Callithrix jacchus: one gene and its partner. The protein of the gene in region 2 interacts with the protein of the main gene of each other region in a biochemical or structural test. Links are inferred from orthologs where the notes say so. Each region holds a gene or a part of one and is shown on either strand. Other genes may lie near its edges.

What was found.
Region 1: of the proteins of COIL (region 2) and VRK1, one has a biochemical effect on the other in vitro, tested with the Homo sapiens proteins (2 studies listed by BioGRID and IntAct, with this or other methods). The link is inferred for Callithrix jacchus from reciprocal best matches to the Homo sapiens genes COIL and VRK1.

Annotation. Positions count from the first base shown.
Region 1 is NC_133509.1:131,687,993-131,691,817, reverse strand, and holds part of VRK1 (serine/threonine-protein kinase VRK1), read right to left. Parts: intron 1,140-3,825; coding exon 1,031-1,139; intron 897-1,030; coding exon 804-896; intron 1-803. UniProt on the Homo sapiens protein: Serine/threonine kinase involved in the regulation of key cellular processes including the cell cycle, nuclear condensation, transcription regulation, and DNA damage response.
Region 2 is NC_133506.1:109,392,128-109,395,952, reverse strand, and holds part of COIL (coilin), read right to left. Parts: coding exon 3,622-3,825; intron 3,527-3,621; coding exon 3,443-3,526; intron 2,890-3,442; coding exon 2,842-2,889; intron 1-2,841. UniProt on the Homo sapiens protein: Component of nuclear coiled bodies, also known as Cajal bodies or CBs, which are involved in the modification and assembly of nucleoplasmic snRNPs.

The DNA of each region.
Region 1 (3,825 bases), on a different chromosome or scaffold from region 2:
AAAGAATGAAGTACAGCTACTGACAAATAATTACAATACAAACACATTACTTCCTTGGGCCTCAATTTCCACCCAAACACATTTAAAATGTTCAAATCTTCCTTTTTGTATAAGATCAAGTAAGAAGTGAGAACACGCATTAAGTATGAACATCAACTAAACCTTAATTTCACTGAAATCACAGAAACAGCTATACAGGAAAATTGTATAGATCCCTCTATTCCAACTAAACTGACCTAAATAAAGGTATATTATTATAAGCTTTTCTCCTTTCCTTAGAAAGTAAAAATTACAAAGGGAATGTAAAAGCTAAAAAAAATGCACATTTGAATTCCAAACACTAAGGGTATACAAATTTAGACAGCTAAGATATTTCTGTAAACCAATTGATTTGAATAATCAACATGTTAAAGACCAAATTTTCCAAGTAATAGAACACTTACATTTGATGGATTTCTTGAACAAAGGAATAAAAAAAAGTGACAAAGCAGACAGGCAAACATAATTCATTGGTGTACTATATAATTTTAAGCTTCCACCCCCAAATAGCTATTTGAAATTCATTTTGTACCACAAGCACTTCTTCTGAATATTATTTAGGGCAAAATAGCCAACTTGATAAAGTGCCAACAAATCACATCAAAAATGTAGAATGTTAACTAGATCAAAGTGTCAAGAAGAAATATTATTACCACATCTACTTCAAAAAGTAAAACTTCTACATAGGTTCAAAAGTTCAAAGCAACCATATTTATTTTCAAACAACATGTTTTAAATAGTAGAAATTAAAGTTATAAAACTACCTGGTCAGGATTCCTGTAGCTCAGAAGAAGATTTGAGGCCTTGATATCTCCATGCACATACTCATGCTCGTGAATATATTCCAGAATATCTAGCTATAAAGTATCACACAGAATAAGTTAATGCAGTACCTAACACCAACCAGCAGAGGACCAAGCTTCAACATAAACTAGCCTTTACTGTATTAAAAACAATTTTTTAAAAAATAAGAAAAACGTAGCTCACATACAATTCTTAAGCTTAGCTGCAAGACAGTTTTCCGAGAAAACCTTTTGGCATTCGCTTCATATATTTTCTGAAGGTCACTCCCAAAGCGATCCATTATCATAAACCTGTAACTGAAGACAAATATGAAAAGCCAATGAACAAAATACAAATCGAGAAAACCAACTTTGCAATGAGTACTCTCAAAGAAATTTTTTTCAAGACAATGTTTAGTAAGGAAGTGTTTTTTAAAAAAGAAATACAAACATTTGCAACAATTTCTCCCAACTAGAAATCTCAAGAGTTCAGAGTGCTTTCAGGTCCTGCTTTTTACCTGGAGGGCCTCTTCCTGGTCTCAGCTAATTACAGGAGAGTATTATTCAATTTAAGATAATGTTCACACAGAGAACCCAAAAGTTTTATTCACAGTAAAAATAAAATAAGCTGAATAAACATGACAGCCATGATTTTTCTCATAGTTAAAATTAATTAATGTTTCTGGATATCAGCTTCCTTCCTGTGACTGTTTCTCTCTATTTTTAAGGTAACAACATTCTGCTAAAAACCAAGATTCTCGTGAGATGCTTTAACAAGAGCTAGATTCAGTAAAATTGTTTAAATGGTGTAAAAGGACTGCACATTAAACATTCAATAGCCTAGATCTGGGGAAAAATGAAAATCCTGGGAAAATGTGAAGATAACTGGTTTGCCATAAAGCAGTTATGTCACCTCGGCCAAGTCACATTACTTCCCTGGGCCTCAATTTCCACAGAAGTAAAATGAGAAAACAGGGACTCGCCCTTTCTAAGGGCACTTCCAGCACCCAAAACTCAGATTCAATGATCATATATTGTATTTTAGTATCTACAGAAAAGCATCACCTATTTGCAGTAACACTGCTCAGCTTCTGCTCTGAAGATCACTTTTATCTTCAACAGTTTTCCAGATTCTAACTTGTCTGCTTAAATCATTCAGTAAATCAATAAAAACCAAAACCACACTCAGAATGTATCAGGACATCTTCCAATGAGGAAGGCTATACATCATCAACACCATAACACCTAGCATTTACTGAACACCTGTTATGAGCACAGCGCTACTGTAAGTACTTAAAAGGTCATTAGGCCATTTAAACCTCACATCTATAAGAAGGCAGATCACTCCTATCAGCCCCATTTTACAGCAGAAGAAAACTGTAAGTAATTTGTCCTCTAGTATGTGACAAATCATGCTTTTAACCACTGCACTACATATACTTAAATAAAGGTCAGGAGGATACAAAACCCCCATTTATATGTTGTAGGCTTCTATGATAGCAATGTGACAAGTTCAACAGGGAGGGAAGAGTTAAACTAACATTAAAAGACAAGATTCTGAACAAAAAAAAACTTAGAACTCTATTCATTTTTGAACTGGAAGGAAATTAGAAAATCATCTTTTCTAAACATCCTTTAATAAATAAAATAACTGAGGTCTTTGGAGGTGAAGTGACTTGTCCAAAGTTATAAAGTTAGTCAGCGGCAAAATACATTCATTCATGTAAGATTTTCTAGTACGCTGGCTTGTAAGATAATAAAGGTGAAAATGGCAACTTTGAGTTCCTGGTTTCCTTTGTATAACAGATTTTGAAAGGTTGAGAGATGAGACCAGGGCACATATACATGTTGGCTTTTACTAAATAGGTGATGTGTATAATAATTATAATATAGGTTGAGCATCCCAAATCTGAAAATCTGAAGTCAGAAATGCTCTAAAATTATAAAATTTTTTAGTGCCAACACGATGCTCAAAGGAAATGCTCACTGGAGCGTTTCGGATTTCCCATTTTCAGATTTGGAATACTCAACCAGTAGGTATTAATGCAAATACTACAAAATCCTGACGAAATCCCAAATCTAATATATTTCTGGTGCCAACATTTCAGGTAAGAGATACTTAACTTGTAATACACAGGTAACAAAAACACAACCTCTGTAACAGTCTGAAAGAGGGCTAAAACACAATTGCTTAATTCCACATGGGTCTATTAATAAATTCTACTATGTAGGTCTTTGTTTTTATTCACAAATCACCCCACCACCATTCTAATTAAGCCCTTAATCTCTTCACCATACCTAAATTATAAACATCAACTGAAAAACACGATTCCACAAATTTCATAGAACCATTACCACATTCTTCTGGAAAGATACCTCTGCCGTTGAGTAATAAAATGAAAGTTATTTCTAAGTAACTATTTTAAAGTAAAACCTTTGATGTATACTTTTCTGGAGACTTGGATAAAACACCCAAGTTTAAAATATATATATATATATACACATATATATATATATCAGTATAATTTAATAATGATAGCAGCTAACATTGTTCCAAGCCATACATACATATTAATTCCAGTGAGTTACAAGAAAAACGAAGGCTGTCTGGCAAGGGAGGGGGCTGGAAGAATAATCTGCTTTCTATTTATTTACTTCTGTAAAACCTATAATGATTCTTTTTAAGAGCTTCAACCTAAAGAGTAAATCAATGCCTGACATATGATTAATGCTATCTTTTTAAAGGAGACATTTCTAGCAACCTCATTTTATAGAAGAAATGGAGTGGGTAAAGTCACTAGTAAATGGTGACTCAAGACTCAGACTGTGTTCTGGTTGGTCACCACACTCTAAGGCACTTCTGATCCACACCAGGGAAGTTCTTTCCAGCAGTGCCCTCGTCAGTCAGCTTACAGACTCAGTCTTTGACCCACTTAGTCCCTGGTCACCTCACGGGAGTCACACAAAGACCTGTTTAACTCGTTCTGAACTTCATCATAAAACA
Region 2 (3,825 bases):
AATAAAAACAGGTGGACTGATAAACACTCTACATGAATATACAGAAACATCCTTAGAGGCAAAATAGATATTAAATCATAAATGGCAGACACTAACTTAAATAACTCGATGAAAGTAAAGATTACACTAAGGAACCAAAAGTGACTGAATAAAGGAAAAGGAGGAAAAATCACGCCAGGACGATATAGTCAAGTGACTAGACGCAGTGGCTCACGCCTATAATCCCAGCACTCTGGGAGGCGGGTGGATCACAAGGTCAAGAGATCAAGGCCATCCTGGTCAACATGGTGAAACCCCGTCTCTACTGAAAACACAAAAATTAGCTGGGCATGGTGGCACACGCCTGTAGTCCCAGCTACTCAGGAGGCTGAGGCAGGAGATTGCTTGAACCCAGGAGGCATAGGTTGCGGTGAGCCAAGATCACGCCATTGCACACCAGCCTGGTTAACAAGAGCAAAACTCCATCTCAAAAAAAAAAACAACAAAAAACAAAAAACAAGTGACTATCGCAGTCAACTGACCATCAAAGCATTCATCAGGAGAGACTAGATAAACCCTAATGGTGCTGCCTTGGTTCCCGATGTTTTTAGTACCTTTTTTTTTTAATAAAGATGGGGTTTCACCATGCTGGTCAGGCTGGTCTTGAACTCCCGACCTCAGGTGATCCGCCTGCCTTGGCCTCCAAAGTGCTTGGATTACAGGTGTGAGCCACCATGCCCAGCCTTTAGTACCCTTCTAAAACAGATCATAATCCCTCCAAGAGAAACTAGAAAGCACTTAATCACTGATAAGATCCCAATTCCCTTTCTTCAGGTGTGGAAGCTGATTTTCTAATGCATCAAGAGGAGACACTGCCCATGCATGTGGGCAATGAGGAGACACATGGTAGCCTCTAGGGGTACAGACCAAAGTCAACCAACTAGTTCCTCCTGCTTCTACGTAGAATTTTGGAGCACAGTCAACAATGCTTTTTTTAAAACCAGACTCAACAGGGAGTCAGGGGCTTGGGAGACTACATTTTTGAGGACAGAATTTAACTAATTTAACTTTTAGAGACAGGCTTATGAATAAAGCAAATGATCAAGCCGGATAACTGTGTTTAAGGTCAAAGCAAAAAAGTAGGACCAATTTTTATTCTTAAAATAATTTTGACAGCAATTTCAAAAATCTTCAACAAATTATGGGAACTAAAGTTGGCAAATCGCCTTTCAATGTTAATAACTATGATGACTATGATGACTAATACCAATTTAATATGCAATATATATATATTTTTAAGAGTCCTGTTCTTTTACCCAGGCTGGAGTGTAGTGGCATGATCTTCAGCTCACTGCAACTTCCACCTACTGGGTTCAAGCAATTCTTCTGCCTTAATCTCCCGAGTAGCTAGAGCTACAGGTGCATGCCACCAAACCAGCCTAATTTTTGTATTTTTAGTAGAGATGGGGTTTTGTCATTTTAGCCAGGCTGGTCTTGAACTCCTGACCTCAAGTGATCTGCCCATCCTGGCCTTCCAAAGTGCTAGGATTACAGATGTGTGCCACTGCATCTAGTCGTTAATATGCAATTTTTAAAAATCAGCATGATCTAGACAATTTATAGAGGTTGTGGGATGTATCAATACAATATTAATTTCTATTTTCTCATATATCACACAATTAAATTAGTAATCTGTGGTAGGGTGACAAGACACCCTAGTGTGTTCAAGACAGGTCTGTATATATCTTTCCAGCATAATTATTAATAGCACTCCCTTTCACTCACAAGTATCCTGACTTAAGTGATATATTATATGATCACCTCATCCATGAGATAGTGAGGGCCTAAGAAGATAAAAATCAGAACACCAACGACCTAGAGCTAACCTACCAGATCCCTTCATTAACCGATTCTTCTAGCCTGCTTTTGAGGAAAGGTTTTACAAAGATGTTAAAAGTCTTCCAAGGCATCAATCCAGATTAAATCAAATTCCCTTGTGTTTTATCTTTGTTCCTATATTAACACTACCAATTATTACCTTAAAAACCGTCTTACATGCCGTATAGTACAACAAAAAAAGAAAGTACGCATTTTAACAAGATTTTCAACAAAATTTTTGTGGGTGAAAAAGGAGAGAAACATATAATTCTGTGACCTCACTGACTAAGCTTTTACTGAACCATGAAAAGCCTCACATGCCAACGTAAAGACTCATACAGATATGAAGTAAGTAAATTCCATGGGTAATATTTATGAACTCTCTGTGGTTAACTGATAATGCAAAAGAAATCATACTAGATCATAATAACCAGAATTCACAAATATGTCAAATAGATTCCCATGATGAAAATAATCAAGCTTCTTGCTGAGAACTATTTATTTTCTTTTAAAGTTTAGAATCATGAAGGAATGAATACCCAAGTAAGTTTGTGTCTCTAAAACTAATTAGAAAAAAGTAACTAAAAAAATTAACTGGCTGGGCATGGTGGCTCACGCCCATAATCCCAGCACTTTGGGAAGCTGAGATGGGAGGGATCATTTGAGCCCAGGAGTTTGAGACCAACCTGGACAACACAGCGAGATCCCATCTCTATTTAAAACAAAAAATTAATATTTTTATAAAAAGTAAAAATTAATCACACCATTCTCCTACTATATTCTTTCCAAGTACCAGGAAAACAACACTGGGAGACTCCACAGTGATACTATTAAAAAGTTAACATTTTGTTATAATGTTTTCATATTCTACTTTCTGGCATTATTTAGTAAAAACTAAATCTGTATTATCCATACAAGTAGTACTAAATATGACTTTAGTTTTATTAATATACTGACAACTTGCTTTTAAATAAACATCCTTACCTTGTAGTCAGAGACATCAGGAGAGTAACTGGATGTTAGTTCCAAAAGCTAAAAAAGAAAAAGCCCACAAATACATAAGCCCTCTTTTTTTTTTTTTTTTTTTTTTTTTTTTTGAGTCAGAATCTTGCTCTGTCACCAGGCTGGAGCACAGTGGAGCAATCTCGGCTCACTGCAACTTCCGCCTCTTGGGTACAAGCGATTCTCCTGCCTCAGCCTCCTGAGTAGCTGGGATTACAGACACCTGCCACCAGCTAATTTTTGTATTTTTAGTAGAGACAGGGTTTCACCATGTTGGCCAGGATGCTCTCCATATCTTGACTTCATGATCCGCCCACCTCGGCCTCCCAAAGTGCTGGGATTACAGGCGTGAGCCACCGCACACGGCCATAAGCCATCTTATACTCTCACATTCCCACAGCTCCTCCATCGTGCAATGTTGGGGTATCCACCCCCACCTCTGGCAGCCCTACCATGAACCCATGGTAACACTGGGGTTCCAGCGGGAAGGGCTTTCACAAATACATTTAACCTGATTTGCTAAGTAAGTTTATTTGGAAGTGGTATGAACCTTTTTTGCTGCAACTGTTGTTTTTAAATATACCTTAAATGCAATCTTTTCTCCAACTTGAGGGGCAGCTGCTAACAGTGGTAACAGACTATAGTCCTTGTGTGTGTCCACTGGATTCTGAAAAACAGTGTTAGTCATGTGACATCATTACTGGTAATGTACCACACTCTAAGGGGAAAGGAAGGAGGTAACTTACAAAAAATAATACTTACCTGGATAATAGTAGATGAATTTGTTACCACTTCATTTAATTGCTGTTGCCTCTGGTTGTCAGTGCTTCTATTCATAACACAGGAAACAGGATGCCCCCGTCCTCGACCTCTCCCCCGCATGCCCCTTCCTCTAGCTCCCTTCCACGAAAAAAGGTTCTCTCCTCTACCCCATCCTCTTCCTAAACTAGTGGGGAGAGACATGCT